Oryctolagus cuniculus: one gene and its partners. The protein of the gene in region 3 interacts with the protein of the main gene of each other region in a pairwise test. Links are inferred from orthologs where the notes say so. Each region holds a gene or a part of one and is shown on either strand. Other genes may lie near its edges.

Region 1 (3,514 bases), on a different chromosome or scaffold from region 3:
TGGGTGGGCGGGAGGGGAAGCGGATGGAAAGGGCCCAGGGCCCCCGCAGAAGCTTTGCTCAGGAGGCCCCTGAAAACGTTTGTGGCAAAGTGGAGTTGAAAGGTGTTTACTGGGGTGCAGAAAATGTTGAAATCCATGCATAGGAAGGATCTTCAAAAAGCTCCTGGGAGGGAGCGCTGTGGCACAGCGGGTTAAGCCACCACCTGCCATGTGGCCATCCCGTATAGTTTGGTGGCTATACATTAAAACAAAAAAAAATTATTGTATTTAGTTGAAGGAGAGAGTTAGAGACGTAGGGACAGAGAAAGAGGTTTTCCATCTGCTGGTTCACTCCTCAAAAGGCCGCCAGGGCCAGGGCTGGGCCAGGCAGGCTGAAGCCAGGAGTCAGGAGCTTCACCTGGATCTCCCATGTGGGTGCAGGGGCCCAAGCACTTGGGCCATCTTCCACTGCTTTCCCAGGTGCATTAGCAGGGAACTGGATGAGAACTGGAGCAGCCAGGCGTGGAACTGGCACCCATATGGGATGCTGGTGCTGCAGGCCAGGGCATTAACCGGCTGTGCCACAGTGCTGGCCCTGGTTACTACACTCTTACATCACAAGAACCTATGCCCATTGGGGCCAGTGTTACAGTGTAGTGGATAAAGCTGCCGCCTGCAGCGCCAGCATCTCCTACAGTCACCGGTTCAAGTCCTGGCTGCTCTACTTCCAATCCAGCTCTCTGCTAATGTGCCTGGGAAAACAGCAGAAGACAGCCTAAGTCCTTGGGCCCCTGCACCCACACGGGAGACCTGGAAGAAGCTCCTGGCTATGGATCGGTCCAGCTCCAGCAATTGCAGCCATTTGGGGAGAGAACCAGTGGACAGAAAATATCTCTCTGCCTCTGCCTCTGTATAACTCTATCTTTCAAATAAATGTATCTTTAAAAAAAGAGAGAGAGAGAGAGAGTCCTTGGGCCCCTGCACCCATGTGGGAGACCAGGAGGAAGCTCCTGGCTTCAGATCGGCACAGCTCCAACCATTGCAGCCATTTGGGGAGTGAATCAACAGTCGGAAGACCTTTCTCTCTCTCTCACTATCTGTAACTCTATCAATAAATAAATAAAATATTTTTTAAAAAGAGATATGTTTATTTTTAAAAAAGAGTATCTGTCTCCCTCTGCAAACACCATACCCTGTGCCTCTCTAGTAGATAAGGAAGAGACACGCTACAAAGAGAGCAGGAGGGGCCGGCGCTGCAGCACAGTGGGTATCGCGGGCATCCCGTACGGGCGCCGGCTCCAGTTCCAGCGTCTCCACTTCTGATCCTCTCCCTGAAAGCAGCAGAGGATGATCCAAGTGCCTGGGCCCCTGCACTGCATGGGAGACCAGGAGGAGGCTCCTGGCTCCTGGCTTTGGATCAGCGCAGCTCCAGCAATTGTGGACATTTAGGGAGAGAACCAGCGGATGGAAGATTTCTCTTTTTCTGTCTGTCTGTAACTCTTTCAAATAAATAAATAAATCTTAAAAAAAAAAAAAAGAAAAAAGCTCATAGGAAATATGTGTTAGAAAAAAAAACTATGCATGAATTTCAAAATCATTTTGTACCAAAATAAACATCTTTTAATGACATTTTCGCACTAACTCTGAAATCTCCCTCATGCCAGCTCTGGGACACCCTGAGGCTGCTGGGTCACTGGACATAAGCTGCTCAGGTCACTTGGGGTCACTGAGGCCACCAAGGAGAGAGCTTCCACACCTGTGATTGTGTGCACTGAACTCAGGAGGTCTCATCTGGGTGTCAAGGTGACACAGGCCTAAACCAAGTGGACGGTACCCTGGGAGCAGGACACGGTAAGCACAGCCCAGCCTGCTGCCGGGTGGCAGGATCTCTTGGGTCATAGCCACCCCGTTCCTGGGATGTAAAGGGCACCTCTGGACAGCTCTCCCTCCCTCCCCGAGCCCCCTGCAGACCAGTCAGCACCATCTGGCAGCTCAAGGCCTGGGCCAAGTCCCCTCTGTCCTGGGTGACGCAGAGAAGGAGAAGGGCGGGAAATCTTCCAGGGTGGGAGTGACTGGTGTTTGCTGACCCCATGACCCCTGCCCAGGGGAGGGGCCGGAGCACTCACCTTGGGTGAAGGGCTCCCACTGGTAGAGCTGGCCCATGAACTCCTGGGAGTCGAAGGCAGCACACTGCAGTGCCCTGGGGTCTGGCTGCTCGGGCGGGCAGGGCTGCGGGGAGGGACAAAGGAGTCAGGGTCAGGGAGGCAAATGGGGCTCAGGGCCAAGGCTGGGCCTGGGGGGAGGGGTCCACAGAAGACTTCCAAGGCCCCTTCCCCAAGGAGGTCAGAGGCCGGGGCCTTTCTCCGCCCTGCTGGGTCAGACAAGCTGAGTGCCCCGCCCCAGATCAAGGGGACAGAGTGGAAGCTGAGTTGGGCAGTGAGGTCCAGTGAGGAACTCACCACTTGGCTGCAGGCTCTCAGCTGCTCGGTCTCCCCAGAACATCGCGGGACAGGGCTGCTGGGGGCAAAGAGGCTCCAGAGAGAACTGGAGGGGGGTCCGTCGCTCAGCAGAGGCAGCCAGCCATTCGGCTCCGCGGGGGACCCCCGGAGGCTCCCCCCAGGCCTCCAGGGCCCCCAGCTCTGCTGGCCCCAGCCCCGAGGGACCGAGGGGAAAGGGTCAGGGGGTCTCCCTGGCTCCCGGGGGCGGGCCCAGCCCTGGGAGCTCGGTATTCTTGGCTGAGGGGACAGGTGGAAGGGGCGACTCTCCCCGGAGAGGGTGGGCGAGAGGGGCTCAGTGCGGGGGGCCTGGGCTCCACGGGACGGCTGCGAGGAGGCAGCCCTGGCTCGGGGCAGGGCAGCCTCGGTCTGAACAGTCCCTGACCCTGTGGGGTGTGCCGGGAGGGATGAGGTGTGGGCAGGCAGTTCTGTGGGGGGCAGTGCAGAGGGCAGCTCGGCCCCGGGAGTCAGGGGCGGCCGCCGGGGGTGCCTGCGGTGGCGATGCAGCGGCAAGGCAAAGGGCACTCTCCCATAGCCGAACATCCCAGGCTTGATGGGCTCTCGGACCCGGGACCTGAGAAGGTGTGGCAGACATGAGTCACACACATGAGTCAGACACGCGGGGCACGCTCCAGCTGTCCCGGAGCCTGTCTCCCCATTCCACTTCCTGGCACCCGAGAGAAGCCTCTGGAAGCCGCGTGTCCTTTGCTCCCCTTCCCTCCACATCAAGCCCAGCCCCTCACCCAAGGCCCGCCCCTTCCCGCAGAGCCTCACCTGCGGGCTCCTGCCACCTCCTGTGTGTCCTCCCTGCCCGGCAGGGAAGCAGGACCTCGAAGCGGGCCCCCCCTTCCCCGTGGCTGTGGCCTGTACAGGGGGTGGGTTTCTCCCAAGGTGTGGGGTCTGGAGCCCTGACCGCGGGGGAGTTGGGCTTCTGGATGCCTTGGGGGCCGGGGAGGGGGAGGCAGGTCCTGGCGGGGCTGGCATATCCGGCTCCGGCGCTGTACCCCCACCCCACAGGGCTGGGAGCAAGAGGACCACTG
Region 2 (3,514 bases), on a different chromosome or scaffold from region 3:
TTGAACACGTTCTCACCAGTGTGGTTCAGGGAGACCCCGTTAGGGGGCGTTCTCGGGTTCCTGGCTTCATCCCGAGGGCCATCGTCAGTCTCAGCTGTGTGCAAACCTCCAGGACCCCCTGGCCTGCAGGCAGCCTCCCCCGCCCCGACCTCCCTGTGGTCAGCATGAACGCACAACCCTGTGATTCACCCGACACTGAGTCGCGGCGTCCACACCGGGGCCGCCACAGCCCGTGACAGGGCGGCAGGAAGCAGACTCAGTGCCCAGGCTCTGGTCAGTTTCTCGGCACACAGGGGGGAGGCGGGCAGGCTGAGGGTGAGGCGCCTCAGAGGCAGGGCAGACCAGCACATACAGGGATCGAGCTGTCCCAGGCAGCACGCTTTATTTACAGAGTCACAGAACCCCCGCCTCCCTGCCCAGGGCCGGGCCTCTCCGGATCCCAGGAGGGGGACAGGCTCGCGCCCACCCGAGCGGAGCCCGGCAGAGGCTTCCGTGCGTGGGCAGCCCCTGCTGGAGCAGAGGGGCCCGAAGTAGCAGCAGAAGCTCCACGCCGTGGTCCTCAGGGCTGCTGCTGCCGAGCGGCGTGGGGCTGGGGGCGCCGGGGATGTGACCAGATTGGGGTGGGGGCTGGACCCCGCACTGGCAACGCCTGGTGAATTGGAAGATAGCAGAGGAGCCACATCAGTTCCAGCCACCTTCCTGGGGGGAGCAGGGCGGGCGGTGGGGAAGGTAGAGACCCAGGGGACAGACCCCTGCACTGCCTGCCCAATCCGGTCCCCCAGGGGACCCTACGGTCCTCGGGCCTGCTCCACGCTACGTCCCTCCCAGGGGCACCCCAGGCTGGGACACAACCCGGGCCATACCAGGCGGGAAGGGCTGGCAGCCGACAGCTTCCGGTGCTGGGCCGTGGCGAACACCGACGACCACAGGTCCAGACTCTTGGGGGCCGAGCCCTTCTCTGACCTGGGAGGGAGGATGTCCCAGCCCAACAGGCAGTGCTGTGGAGGGCAGGGGTTAGAGAGCCGGCCTGAGGCAGGGCTCCCACTGGCCGGGCACAGCTCCGGGGGAGGGACTGTGCCCCCACCAGGGTAGAGGGAAGCCCTGAGCAGTGGGGGTTGCCCCCAGGACAGGGACCTGTGTACCCCGGATGACCCAGGGCCTGGTCTTTCTCATCCCTGCTGATCCTGCCACCCTGGGGCCCTGGGGGCTGGACACAGACACCGATGGCACCCAACAGTGATCACTTTACTGAACTGCCCACTCAGCCCAGCACCCCCAAGCATGTACTGCTACACCCATTTAACAGACAAACTGACTTTTCTCTGTACCCCTTCCCCTCCCCCAGCCTCAACAGAGGTGGGTGGGTGGTCCAGGACAACATCCAGGGGAAGCACTGTGGAAACGTTAAGAACTGAGTTCAAACCCCGGCTCTTCCGCCAAGGTATCTGGCCCTCGACCTCATCCTAGGGCAGGAGCCACCAGTGCCCTGAGCCCCTGAGGACTGTGCCCGGGGGTACACAGTGCTCCACCGCGGCACACCAGGGCTCCCTCGGGGAGCAGGTGCAGCCTGGGGAATCGGCCCTCCCCAAGCCCAGCCTCACTCTGTGGCCATCCCTGAGAACCTGAGCTGGGCCAGGGACAATCTCGCTCCCACCCACCCCACGCCCCGCGGCTGCTCACCCGAGGCAGGGACAGTGTGTCCGAGGCATCGAAGCTCTTGCGCCTGCGGATGCGATACCAGTGCGGGGGGTCCAGGATGGACAGCGGGACGCTCACCCTGTGCGGGGCAGCAGTGGCCTCTGCTGAGGCACCTCCCCCAGCCCCAGGCCCATCCTCCCCCCTCAAAGCCAGCAGCCCCCCAGGCTGAGGCCCCTCATGGCTGCCCCGAGATGTCCCACAGCTCTGCCACTCACCTGACCTGTGCCGGCTCCAGCAGGGTCTCAGGGCCCTGCTGCTCCCGCAGGGTCCCGCACAGGCGGCAGGGGGTGCCCGGATCCGAAGGCACCAGGAAGAGGCGGCGGTTGACGCGGTAACAGTACACACCTGCGGGCCCAGCAGACGCTGCCTCGGTGGCCCCAGCCCCGGCTACTCCCGCCCATGGGGCTGCCCCTCTGGGGAACAAGTCCTACAGTGGCTCTGGTCTTGGGCCCGTGTCCCAAGGGGTGCAGGTATGCTGTCCTCCCAGGGGCTCTCAGGAGCTGGAACGGGGGCCCAGCCAGCGCTGAAGGCTGCTGGGGAGGGGTGGGGTGGGTCAGCAGGTCACCGTCCCCAAGGCTCCCTGGGGCCGCAAGACCTCTACTGAGGCTGCTTTGGGACGTGAGGGCGGGGGCTCAGGCCAGGGCAGAGCGAGGCTGGGCTCCTCGGCAGCCCGGCGCAGGGCTCACACTCACATTCGTGGTCCCCGTCCACGCCATCGTTCTCGTGCAAACCCAGGAACCCGGGCCTGTGAGGATGAGGGGGGCGAGTGGGGCAGGTGGGAGGGCGGGAGCCCCCAGCCGCCCCAGCCGCCCCCGCCCGGCCCTGCTCACTCAGAGTGGCTGGCCGTGCACTCCTTCTTGTTGGCTTCTCGGAACTTCTGCAGTGTTGCAAAGAAGGCCTCGGGCTTGCTGGTGACGGGAGAGCTGCTGTCCAGGGACCCTGGCGAGGCCAAAGCAGCGGAGCTGCCGGGTAGCCCTGGCCAAGGCCTGGGGAGGTCCTGCCACGGCGCACCTGCCTCAACCCCGCTCTGCCCCCTCCTGGCCAGGACGGGCCCCTCCATCCGCTGTGGCCACGGGCTCTACCTCAGCCCGTCCACTCCCTCGCCACGGCTAGAACGTCTCACACTCTGGGAAATGGCGGTGAGGCAGGGCGACAGAGCCCTCGCCCTTGCAGGCTCACGGCCTTTTTTTTAAGGTTTCCTCCTTTGTTTTTTAAATATTTATTTATTTATTTATTTGAAAGGCAGAGTTAACAGAGAGAGGGAGGGACAGACTTCCATCCACAGTTCGCTCCCTAAACAGCCATAACGGCCAGGCAGAAGCCAGGAGCCAGAAACTTTCTCCAGGCCTCCCACGTGGGTGCAGGGGCCCAAACACTTGGGCCACCCTCCACTGCTTTCCCAGGCACATTAGCAAGGCGCTGGATTGGAAGTGGAGAAGCCAGGATTTGAACTGGCGCTCACGTTGGATGCCGGCACTGCAGGCTGGGGCTTTACCTGCTAACCCACAGCACTGGCCCCGATTTATTCATCTGAAAGTCAAAGTTACAGATATAAAGAGATCTTCCGTCTGCTGGTTCACTCCTCAGATAGCTGCTACGGCCAGGGCTGAGCCAGGCCAGAGCCAGGAGCTCCTTCTGGGTTTCCCTCAGAGATGGCAGGGCCCAAACACCTGTGACGTCTTCCACTGCTTTCCCAGGCACATTAGTGGAGACATGAACTGGTGCCCATGTAGGACCCCAGTGTCGAAGGAGGAAGCTTTACCTGCTGCGCCACATGGGCCCTGGGAGGCTTACATTTTATTTACATTTTATTTTT
Region 3 (4,049 bases):
TTCACCTGGGGCTCTGCGGGATGCTGAGTTGGTTCTGCACAGCCAGGGCCACGCTGTCACCCTTCTGGAACACCATGTCATAAGGGCCTTCCCCAAACATCATGGCATAGAGCACACAGCCTAGGGACTGAACGTAACTTGGTTAGTCCCTGAAAGATCAAAGGGGATGGCATCTTTTCCCTTTCTTTTGAGGGGAAAGGAGACCACACAAGCCAAACAGAATAGGCCAACCTGAGCCACACAGAGCTCCCAGGGCCCAGAGAAACCCCCAGAGAGCTGGGCACCTCTGCAGCCCTCACTTCATGGGAGGGAGACCACTTCCTTCAGTATCAGTGACAGTTTGCAGGAAGGAAGTTGAGAGAGATGGCAACAAGCTGCGGTTCCCGGGGCCCCTTGCAACAGAAACCAAAGACCTACTTCTCTGCCTGACAGCACCTCCGAGCCACGCCCCTCCCCACGCAGATTCCCGCCCACATGCTCCTCACCCAGACATCAGTCCGCTCGTCAATAACACAGTGACTCTGCACGGAGAAGAGCTCCGGGGCCCGGTAGGAGATGGTGCACCGCTGGGCTGCCCAGTCCTAGAACGGTGGCCTCAGAGCTCAAAAGCAGGGCACAGGCCAGGGTCAAGTGACCGAACTGGGGCACGTAACAGAAGGGGTCAGGGTGCGGAACAGGTGGGCAAAGGAACCCGAGGCTCTTACTTGCAGGGTCAGGGCCTGGCGGGAGCCCTCCACATGGATGCATGCTTGATTCATGGAACCCAAATCCATTAACACTGGCTGTCCCTCATCGCCAAGCAAGATGTTGGTGGGTTTCAGGTCCCTGCAGAGAAATAGAAAGGACATGTAAGCTGGAATCCTGGGGGGGGGGGGGCGGGGGGCTGATCACAGGGAGAAGAGCAGAGCCCAGAGCCCTCCCCTTTCTCTTGGTGAGGTTCTTGCTCCTGGGCCCCCTGAGCACACAGGGCCCTCCCACTGACCTGTGGGCATAGCCCTTGGCATGAATGGCCTCCAGGCCTCTGCAGATGCCCAGCAGCAGCCGCAGGATTTCATCCTCAGTCAGGAAGTTGCCCTTGTCCTTGAGCCTTTCTATCTCAGCCCACAGCGTCCCTCTCTGCAACAAGAGTTTCCCCACAGCTGGAGACGGTGCCGGAGCCTCTGGTCTCTGGGCCTGATCGTGTGCCTACGTCAATGCCCATCTGCCCTCCTCCGATCACCTAGACCTCAAACCCCCCACTCCCACATGGGCTCCTCTAAAGCTCAAGTCTGAAGCGGCCAGGACCCCCGCTGGCCGGCTCGTTTGACTGCTCACACAGCCCCTGGCGGGTGGCTCTGTGGCAACCCTCTCCACGCCAGGAGCATTTCTGACCTTAAAGAAGGGCAGCAGCAGCCAGGCCTCGTGCTTAGCATCTCGCTCCCTCAGGCAGTAAGCGACGAGGCGCAGGATGTTGGGGTGATGGAAGAGGCGATGCATGTCTGCTTCCCGCTGCGCGTCCTCTCGGTCCTGCTGCTCATGACACAGGATTCGCTTCAGGGCGTAGAAGTGTCCATCATGTAACCCCTCCACTAGGTCCACATAGCTGAACCCACTGTGGGCCAAAGGGGTCAGTGAAGGGCCACGGTCATCTCCCACAGGGCTTGGATTCAGAGGACTTTTCTGGGAGACGGCAGTGTCTCTCCCATTCAGTAAAAACCCTCCCAAGATGCGGCTCTAAGAGAAGGCTGAAGGTTGTTACACCTTGAGCTCCCCCAAAGCAGGCACAGGGAGACCGGGGAGGTGGACGTGGGCATAACACAGCGCTGTGCACCTGTATCAGGTGCTTATGAACCATGCACTGTGTGGGGCGGTCTAAACCCATGACCTCATTTACTCCTCACAACGCCATCAGTGAGGCGGGATAAGCATCTCCATTTAGTGGAGGAAGAAATCAATGGCTTATCAAGGACAAGCGGATGTGGCTCTAGGAGGCGGGGCTCCAGAACCCACTCTCTGGACTACCAGGCACCTAGATGCCATCAGGTGACCCAGAGGTTAGGGATAAAACCCTTCTGCCTCTGTCCCGTGCAGAACGCCGGTCCTCCACGACCATAACCCTGGGGATTAGGTGATTTCCAAACACTCACCCCTCCCCCAGTTTCTGGATGAAGAGGTAACGCTTATTGTCAATGATGACCGTTCCCCGAGAGCAGACACAAAGCGCGTGGCCCATAATGTCTCAAACATCCTCCTCAAGGACGGGCTGCAGCTGCCGGGGGACTGGTCCAGGGTGAGTGGGCTCTTCCGGGCGAGGCGCCGCGGGCCCAGTGGCTCATGCTGGAAGGAAAACAAACGGCAGAGTCGCGGGTCCGGCACAATCCTCACGACCCCTGAAGGACCAGCGCGGAGAGCTTAGGCTCAGGTCTCGGAACCTGGATCTCCGTGTAGGGAAAAAGGGTCCTGACAACGCCAGCTCCAAAAAGGCCGCAGTCAGGTGCCTTAAAGCCCCAGGCCACTTCCTCCAACCCCAGTCCACCTTTGGGCGGGCCCTTTCCCACGCCCGTCGGTCCCCAAAGGAGGGCGGGCATAGAGTAGTTCCCGAGGAGGTGCGAGCCTCCGGCCCACCTCTTGCAGAACCCACCCCCAACCTCAGAGCGCGGAGCCCGGGATCGATCAGCTCGGACGTCCCACTGACCTGGCCCGGGAGGGAACTCAGCCAGAAGCCGGAAGCGGCGTCTACGTCATCAGTCCGCGCCGGCGTAACGGCCCGCGGTATCCTAGCAACCGCTGGGCATCCCGACGATGTGGGGGCGCGGAACCGAGAGGCCGGGGGCGGGCTAGGCCTGCAGGTGCACGGGTCGCGGGACCCGGGTGAAGGTTCCCTACCTGGCCTTCAGTAGGGGTCAAGACGCAGGCGTCTGCGCCAAGGGGGGAGCAAAGCCGGGCTCGGCCCGAGGCCCCCAGGACCTCTATCTCCCAATGTCCGAGGTAGGAGGCCTCATACCTCCCGTGCGCTGGGTCCAGAATGCGCCCAACTATGGCCCATCCCTGAGGGCGGCCCCGGGAGGGGCCGGTGACCTTCCAAGCCCTGCTCACGAACCTCACTGCCAGTTTCTAGACAGGGGGTCTTAGTAACCTACCTGCTGTGTGACCTCGACCAATTAGCCTGTTGGATCCTAGTTTTCTGTAGCTGTAAAAATACATGTAATAGTGCCTAATATTTAGTGCATGAACTGCGAGGCTAATTCAAATCCCAGCTAGACTAAACTAGTTGTGGGAGCTCAGGCAGTCTACCTGACATGTCTGTCCTTTAGTTTGTTCATCTGTAAAGTGGGAACGGTAACAGTGTTACATAACCCTCAGTAAGTGTCTCGCAACAGGAATGATAGTTACTACTACTCCGCTCCTCACATCCCAGGCTTGGGACTATGAGGGCAGGAGGGTTGGAAATCCCCAAATTCAGCCTTGGCATCAAGCAGTTGTCACTGACATCTCTTGCCTAAATGGGCAAGGATAAGCTGGAGAGGGCGCACACTTCCAGAGAGGATGGGATGGCCAGGATGGGCTCTCCAGGAGAAGGGTTCAACTTGTGACCTGGTTTCCCCCTGCCATAGCTCTGATCACCATGAAGATTTTCCTATGGTTTCCCTTGGTACTGACCCTGTTTTCCTGCGTGTTCTGACATTCTGTCATGTAGATTTAACCTGCTCTGTGTCAGGCCCTGTGCTTGAAGCTGGGGGTCCCAGATGGACAAAGCACTCCTCACCTTCAGGGAGCTCAGTCTCAGTAGCGCAGTGCTTCTTGTGAGTGTCCCTGGGAATCTTGCTAAAATACAAATTCTGATGCTATAGGTTTGAGGTAGGACCTGAGATTCCGCGTGTCTAACGGGCTCTCTGGTGACGCTGATGGAGCTGGTTCGCGGCTGCGCTTTGAGTAGCCAGATGTAGAGGACTGTTATACATTAGTAGAGTGGCAGGGAGCTGCAGGCTGGAGACCCAAGCCAGGCTAACCGCCTGGCAGCTTGAGGTGGTCTCCGCCCCCTTGCTCGCTGAGGTTCCCTCCCAGGACTC
Region 4 (4,203 bases), on a different chromosome or scaffold from region 3:
TTGATGTTGACCTTGATCACCTAGCAGAAGTAGTATTTGTCAGTTCCTCCACTACAATACTACCTCCCCCTGCCCTTTGCTTCCCCTATTGTAGTCTTAGAAGGAAGTCACTGGTCACAGCCCACATTTAAGGAGTGGGGTGTTATGCTCTTGCTGTTTATGGGATATATATATATATGTGTGTGTGTATATATATATATTTGTTTATTTAAGAGGCAGAGAGAGAGAGCGCGCGTGCTCACATCTGTTGGTTCACTCCTCAAATGGGTGCAATGACCAGGGCTGGGCCGGGGTGGAGGGAAAGCCAGAACACAAGCTAGGTTTCCCATGTGGGCAGCAGGCACCTGCTTACTTGAGTCATCAGCACTGCCTCCCAGGGTCTACACTGGCAGTTAGCTGGAGTCAGGAGCTGGAGCCCAGAATTGAACCCAGATGCTCCACTGTGGGAGGCTGATCTCTTAACCACTAAGCTAAATGCTGACTCCCTGACTTACTGTACTTTCTTTTTTACAAAGAGAGGTTTTTTTAAAAAAAATTATTGAGAGGCAGAGAATAATAGAGAGACTGAGAACTCAGACCGGCTAGTTCACTCCCCTATCAGAAGTCAATCCAGGTCCCCCAATTGGGTGGTGGGAACCCAACCACTTGAGCCACCCCCGCCGCCCCTAGGGTCTGCACCAGAAGGAAGCTGGAATCAGGCAAACATGGAATCCAGGACCTGTGGTTTGGGATGCAGGCTTCTCAAATTGCTTCTTTACAGCTAGGTCAAAAGCCCGCCTCCCTGAGGTGGTTATTTTAACAAGGAAAATAGCGCACAAAAGGGGTATCTAGATTTTTTTTTTTTTTTTTTGACAGGCAGAGTGCACAGTGAGAGAGACAGAAAGGTCTTCATTTTCTGTTGGTTCACCGCACTGATCCGAAGCCAGGAGCCAGGTGCTTCTCCTGGTCTCCCATGGGGTGCAGGGCCCAAGTACTTGGGCCATCCCCCACTGCACTCCCTGGCCACAGCAGAGAGCTGGCCTGGAAGAGGGGCAACCGGGACAGAATCCGGCGCCCCGACCGGGACTAGAACCCTGAGTGCCGGCGCCACAGGCGGAGGATTAGCCTACTGAGCCCTGGCGCGGGGTACCTAGCTCTTTGCGTCACTGGTCGTACTTGGCATTCCTAGCAGGTGGCCTGTGGTGGCTTAATAGCCCACACCGGCCACCCTACTTCCTGGAACTTCACTTTCCTAGCTCTAGGAGGGGTGTTGTTGATTCCCCTTCCCCTCCCTAGTTCAGTCTTGATGGTACCCCTGGGACCGCACGGGAGCCCGAGGCTCAGAAAAGGGCAAGGTCGGCTCAGCATCTCACCTGGCCGGGCAACCCCTCCTGCGCTTAGCTTCCCCACCCCGGGGCGGGGCCAGGGGCACTTCCGCTGGCCAGCGTTAGCCGCACGTGGTAGGCTGAGCGGCGCCGGGCTAGCTGCGGGTCGGAGATGACCAGCCTGCGCTCTGCGCCCGGGTCTCCGGCGTCCACGTCCCGGGCGCCGGCGCCCCCGCCCGTGACCGACAGGCAGAACGTGAGTGCGCGGGAGGGCGGGGGCCGCGCGTGTCCCGCGCCGCCGCGTCTTGCTCTGCTGCGCTCCGGGGTCTTCCGCTGGCCCCTGTCTCCCCGGGGCTGCCTTTCGCTTTGGGCGCGCTGCGTTCCCTCTCCTCTGGCAGGGCTCTGTCTTTTCTCCTTGGCCATCTCTGCCCCAGCTCTGGCCGCTGTGCTTTTGCGCCTCTGTGCCGGATCCTGCTCCGGGTGTGCGTGGCCTCTCCTCTTGGCACTTTTTCTTGCTTGGCCGCCTTTATTCATCGTTCTCGTCACACTGTCTTTATTTTAGTGCCTCTCTGGCGCTCCGCCGTGTGCCCTCAGGCTTCGTGAAGTCCATGGGTTTTCTTTGAACCTAACTCTTCCTGCCGGCCCTGGCCACCCCCGCGCCCCAAACCCCTCCATCTTCAGGCTGGCCCTGCCCTTGGGTTGGATCCTGAGGCTTCCTGCTCACCTCCTCCCTGGGCTTGGGCGAGGGGGGAGGGTCGACAAAGGCTGCGTTTGCTGTAGGAGCAGAAAATTCTGATTCTCTTTTGGCTACATCTTTGCTTTTTTAATTTTTAAAAGATTTATTTGTTTATTTGAGAGGCAGAGTTACAATCAGAGAAGTCTTTCATCCACTTGTTCACTCCACAGATAGCCCCAACGTCAGGAGTTGGGACAGTTGGAAGCCAGGAGCTTCTTCCGGCTCTCCCACAAGGGTGCAGGGCTGCAAGCACTTGGGCCATCTTCCACTGCTTTCCCAGGTGCATTAGTTGGCATCCATATGGGATGCCTACGTCATAGGCGGAGGCTTAATCTACCAGGCCACAGCGCAGACTCCTGGTTCCGCCATCTTGAAGACTTGGAAGGAAAAGCAGACCCAGGAACGTATGGCTCTTTCCACTAGGACAACAGTAATGGCATTTTCCTTGGCGAGTGACAGAGCCATCTTCTTTTAAAATATGTATTTATTTGAAAGGCAGAGTTGAGAGAGATCTTCCATTTGCTAGTTCACTCCCTAAATGGCCACAACCAGCAGGTCAGATCCAGGAACCTGGAACTCCCACGTAGGTGCTGGGGCCCAGTTGCTCTCCCAGGTGCACTAGCAAGGAGCTGGATCAAAAGATTCCGGTGCCTGGAAGCAGCAGGGACTCACATGAGCTCTGATAAGATAGAGGATACTGGCATAGCAAGCAGAATCTTAACCCGCTATGCCCAATGGTGGCCTGACAGGGCCACCTGCTGAATGCTTAGATAGGTGCTCAGTAAGTGCCTGAATGAATTACCAGGCAAAGGTAATGCCGGGACCCAGTGCTCAGTGCCAGGTAGGGCAATGTCGCCCTTTATCAGAGGACCGTGTGCTCCATTCAAGTCGGCAGTGTGCTGCTCAGCTCTGTAGTAGGTAAGAGTGACATAAGGTAGAGCCAAGAACAGTCCCTCCCTTGAGGAAACAACAGTCTAATTTGCAAGGGGACCCAGCCTGCTTTGATGAGGGGGGTGGAGGGAGCAGCAGGTGGTTGAATTGCAGAGTTTAGGGTTTATTTGGAAGGGAATGAGGAGTTTTCTGGGCATTTAATGCAGGGAGTGATGGGATCAGATTCAGAAAAGGTACTGTGGTTTCAGAATGGAGAGCAGGTAAAGCTGCTGCCTGCAGTGTTGGCCTCCCCTATGGGCTCCGAGTCCAGTTCCGGCTGCTCCACTTCTGACCCATCTCTCTGCTATGGCCTGGGAAAGCAGTAGAAGATGGCCCAAGTCCTTGGGCCCCTGCACCCTCATGGGAGAGCTGGAAGAAGCTCCTGGCTCCTGGCTTCAGATAGATCAGCGCAGCTTTGGCCATTGCAGCTCTCTGGGGAGTGAATCAGCAGATGGAAGACTAATCTCTCTCTTTGGCTCTGCCTTTCTGTAACTCTTTCAAATAAATAAATAAATCCTAAAAAAGAGAGAGGGGGGGGAGAGAGAGAGAGAGAGAGAGAGAGAGAGAGAGACTTATTTGAAAGGCAAAGTTGCAGAGCAGGAGATCTTTCATCTGTTGATTCACTCCCCAAATAGCTGCAATGGCCAAGGCTCGGCCAGGCCGAAGCCAGGAGCTTCTTCCAGGTCTTCCACATGGGTGCAGGGCCCAAGCACTTGGGCTATCTTTTGCTGCTTTTCCAGGCCATTATCAGAGAGCTGTGTCAGAAGTGGAGCAGCTGAGTCTCCAACCAGCACCCATATGGGATGCTTAACCTACTATGCCACTACACTGGCCATGACTTACTTTCTTTCTTTTTTTAAATTTGTTTATTTATTTGAAAGAGTTACACAAAGGAGAGGCAGAAAAAGAGAGGTCTTCCTGGTGCACTCCCCAATTGGCCGCAACAGCCAGAGCTACGCCGATCCAAAGCCAGGAGCCAGGAGCTTCTTCCAGGTCTCCCACGAGGGTTTCAGGGCCCAAGGACTTGGGCCATCTTCTACTGCTTTCCCAGGCCACAGCAGAGAGCTGGATCAGAAGAGGAGCAGCCGGGACTTGAACCGGCGGCCATATGGGATGCCGGCACGGCAGGTGACAGCTTTACCCTCTGTGCCACAGCGCTGGCCCCTCTTTTTTTTTTTTTTTTTTTTAAAGAATTTATTTATTTATTTGAAAGGTAGAGTTACAGAGAGGGAG
Region 5 (2,917 bases), on a different chromosome or scaffold from region 3:
AGCCGTAAGGGGAGCTGGGACCTGCACAGACCAAGGTGGCAGCTTCCAGGAGGCAGGATGGGTTTAGTAAGCTCAAGACCCTGACCTGCCACACTTCCATTTGGAAATGGAATGTCCCGTGGTGTTAGGAGAGCATAGTGTGGGTGCTGATGGCTACTGACAGCCCTGCATTAGGGGTGGGAGTGGAACTCTAAAGCCAGACCGGGTGGGGGGGGCAGGGGATGTTGGCCATGGGCTGGGCTTGAGTTTGTGAGCCTAACACCTGAAGCATGCCTGCATTTAACATGCTGACTTGCCCTGCCGATCCGGAAGTCCAAACGCTCCCTGCAGCCTGGAGCCCACGCGATGCCCTTAGCCCCAGTTTTGAGAGCCTACGTGGTGAGGGTCTCAGAGTCAGGCCTGGGAAGCGCCTTGGTTTCTGGAAGGCAGAGGCACTGCAGAAACTCCCCAGGCCTAAGTCCCTGTGCAGATAAAGCAGACAACGGGCGTGATCCAGCAGACTTGCCAGCGCGTCTGGTGAGGCGCTTCACCTAGGGTTGCTCTTTAAAATGAGTCATGTTAATAGCCAGAGGGAGGCTCCATGATGGGAACCAGCTGGGAGAGCGAGCACTGGGTGTTCTCTGGATGGGAATGGGCAGATTGTGGGGTTCTCACAAGCCTAGTGTCTCTTTTACATAATTATGAATGGGCTGCCTGCTCTGGACTGCAGCGCCGGCTGGGACGGGGCTGCAGGAAGGGTCCCAGAGCTGTAGGAAAGTGGGGCCGGGGGGTAGCAGACACACAGGGAAGTCGCTCTGGTTCTAGTTACTGGATAATGGGCACAGGAAAAGGACCAGGAAGTCGCCGTGAGTCACCATCTATTGTAGCAGGGCCTGGCTCCCCTCTACATGAGGCTTGCGGTCAGTGCTGGGCAGGGCCCACCTTAGGGAAAAAGTAGCCGTCCGGGCAGATGCAGGCTTCCAGGGCCCACGTGGCTGGTAAACGAGGCAGCATTTCGGCAGCCTCCTCTGTCTTCCCCGCCAGGCTACTGCGTGTGGGGCGCCAACTGCACCACCCGGAGGGAGGCAGCAGAGACACTGACAACCAAAGCAGACAGCAACCAGCCTCACGCTAAGGGGATGAGACTGTGTCACCTCCCATTTCTCGCACCGCACATGTTGTCATGCAGGGTCCTTAGAAGGAAGGGACTGGGTCTGAATCCAGACTCACAGTGAGACCCAGGGTGCCCGGTCTCCCCAGCTGTCCCACAGACGGTTGAGGGGATTCACTGAGTGTAGAGCTCCCATGATTCATCCGTGTTGGCCAGGATGGGTGTCCGCAGGCCACTGGGATGGGGTGCATGCTCCCAGTAGGGTCCTCCCCTCTCCCCCAACAGGTGAAGACCAAGGACGAGTCCCGCAGCGTGGGCCGCATCAGCAAGCAGTGGGGGGGGCTGCTCCGAGAGGCGCTCACGGACGCAGACGACTTCGGTCTGCAGTTCCCACTGGATCTGGACGTGAAGCTAAAGGCTGTGCTGCTGGGAGCCACGTTTCTCATCGTGAGTTGGCTGCCCCTGCCCCTGCCCCTCTCCTCCTGCCAGTCCTTTGCCATCCCTTATTGAATCTCTGTGCACCCGCTGGCTTCTCACTAGGGGTGGGTTAGGGACGGATGTCATGTATAGGGGAGGGGGTGGTTCCAGACCTGGCCCAGCCCCCCGTTCATGGCGGCTTCCCTGCAGGACTACATGTTCTTCGAGAAGCGAGGAGGCGCGGGGCCCTCTGCCATCACCAGCTAGAGGCTACCCTAGGGTGAGGGAAGTACCACCTCCACCAGAACTGAAGCCGGTTGCGGGCCCAGCCCCGCCCTCCCGAGCAGCAGCCCCCTTTCTTCCAAGTATACTGCAGGGGACGGAGAGGCTGGGGTCACGGTGCCCCACCCCGCCCCTGCTCCCCGGCCTCCTCCGCCTGGGGCCCCCACAGCAGGGTATGTATGAGAACCCGTCCCTGCCACCCCCGCCCCAGTCTCCCAGCAGCCCCTCAGCACACAGGCTTACTGGCTTTCAAACTTCCCACCCGCTCCAAGCCCTCCGAAGGCCTTTGGCACCTGAGACTCTGGGGTTTTACGACAGGGCATGGCCGAGTAAGGGCAAGCAGCAGCAGACAGCCGAAGCGGCCACCCCTCTCCTTCGTCAGCTTTGCCAATTAGCTCAGCCTCGGACCCTGGCACTTGGAGGGGATCTCCACCTCCCCCGCCAGCAGGTGTCAGGGCTGGGCCCCAGCGCCAACTTCCTTTCCCCCTTGGGCCCTGCCCAGAGCGGTGCTTCCTGCAGCTTCCTGTGCCTTATTTAACCACCCCTTCCTTGCCTTGCCCTAGGAAGGAGGCTGCATCTTTGTATGTTATATTCATAAACACTTTGTAACTTTTTGGACATTGGAAGATGTATGTGATGGGGGAGGGGCGAAGAGTCGATGGGAGGTAGAGCAGAGGGAACTACTGGGCTGGGGCAGGGGCTGGCCCCTCTCGTGGTCCCTGCTGCCAGGATCGAATGCCCTTGCGTCCAAGAGAGCAGTTCCCATCACCCACGATGGCGCTGGACCAAACCTGGGCAACTGGGGCCCCAAGTCCCGACGGCTGCTTCCACCTCCCAGGTGGCCGCCCCCAGAGTCAGTGAGGTAGCTCAGGGCGGCTCCGGACAGCCACTTGGTCGTTCTCTGAAGGGGAACGGTCTCCCCTGGGTCTGATGTGCAGTTCTTTTCCTTCAAGTCCTCCTCCTCTCTGGGAATGTGGCGAGCAGAGCACACTTCCTTGGCCCCGCCAAGGGACCCTGAGCCTTCAGAGGCCATGGGCAGGGTAGGGAAGAGACACCCTCTCCGTGCCCAACCCTGGGCTCCCTTGGGCACCTCCTGCACCTGCTTTCCGCAGGTGGGGAACTCTGCCC

The links.
Region 1: the proteins of STK16 (region 3) and ADAMTSL4 interact in binary tests that used the Homo sapiens proteins (3 or more experiments, as listed by UniProt). The two-hybrid records come from large-scale screens. The link is inferred for Oryctolagus cuniculus from reciprocal best matches to the Homo sapiens genes STK16 and ADAMTSL4.
Region 2: the proteins of STK16 (region 3) and MIIP interact in binary tests that used the Homo sapiens proteins (3 or more experiments, as listed by UniProt). The two-hybrid records come from large-scale screens. The link is inferred for Oryctolagus cuniculus from reciprocal best matches to the Homo sapiens genes STK16 and MIIP.
Region 4: the proteins of STK16 (region 3) and KCTD14 interact in binary tests that used the Homo sapiens proteins (3 or more experiments, as listed by UniProt). The link is inferred for Oryctolagus cuniculus from reciprocal best matches to the Homo sapiens genes STK16 and KCTD14.
Region 5: the proteins of STK16 (region 3) and PLSCR3 interact in binary tests that used the Homo sapiens proteins (3 or more experiments, as listed by UniProt). The two-hybrid records come from large-scale screens. The link is inferred for Oryctolagus cuniculus from reciprocal best matches to the Homo sapiens genes STK16 and PLSCR3.

What each region holds. Positions count from the first base shown.
Region 1 is NC_091438.1:47,449,216-47,452,729, forward strand, and holds part of ADAMTSL4 (ADAMTS-like protein 4), read right to left. Parts: coding exon 3,249-3,514; exon of another isoform or gene 3,049-3,248; coding exon 2,439-3,048; exon of another isoform or gene 2,209-2,438; coding exon 2,106-2,208; exon of another isoform or gene 1,644-2,105; intron 1-1,643. UniProt on the Homo sapiens protein: Positive regulation of apoptosis. May facilitate FBN1 microfibril biogenesis.
Region 2 is NC_091438.1:156,459,696-156,463,209, forward strand, and holds the end of MIIP (migration and invasion-inhibitory protein), read right to left. Parts: intron 2,638-3,514; coding exon 2,529-2,637; intron 2,444-2,528; coding exon 2,391-2,443; intron 2,044-2,390; coding exon 1,914-2,043; intron 1,778-1,913; coding exon 1,681-1,777; intron 999-1,680; coding exon 864-998; intron 650-863; coding exon 560-649; 3' UTR 350-559; downstream 1-349.
Region 3 is NC_091434.1:20,221,867-20,225,915, forward strand, and holds the start of STK16 (serine/threonine-protein kinase 16), read right to left. Parts: upstream 2,811-4,049; 5' UTR 2,675-2,810; exon of another isoform or gene 2,412-2,674; intron 2,317-2,411; 5' UTR 2,213-2,316; coding exon 2,127-2,212; intron 1,592-2,126; coding exon 1,372-1,591; intron 1,117-1,371; coding exon 983-1,116; intron 826-982; coding exon 705-825; intron 582-704; coding exon 486-581; intron 128-485; coding exon 6-127; intron 1-5. UniProt on the Homo sapiens protein: Membrane-associated protein kinase that phosphorylates on serine and threonine residues. In vitro substrates include DRG1, ENO1 and EIF4EBP1. Also autophosphorylates. May be involved in secretory vesicle trafficking or intracellular signaling.
Region 4 is NC_091432.1:69,093,914-69,098,116, reverse strand, and holds the start of KCTD14 (BTB/POZ domain-containing protein KCTD14), read left to right. Parts: upstream 1-1,390; 5' UTR 1,391-1,476; coding exon 1,477-1,560; intron 1,561-4,203.
Region 5 is NC_091448.1:51,969,977-51,972,893, reverse strand, and holds the end of PLSCR3 (phospholipid scramblase 3), read left to right. Parts: intron 1-1,375; coding exon 1,376-1,537; intron 1,538-1,717; coding exon 1,718-1,774; 3' UTR 1,775-2,407; downstream 2,408-2,917. UniProt on the Homo sapiens protein: Catalyzes calcium-induced ATP-independent rapid bidirectional and non-specific movement of the phospholipids (lipid scrambling or lipid flip-flop) between the inner and outer membrane of the mitochondria.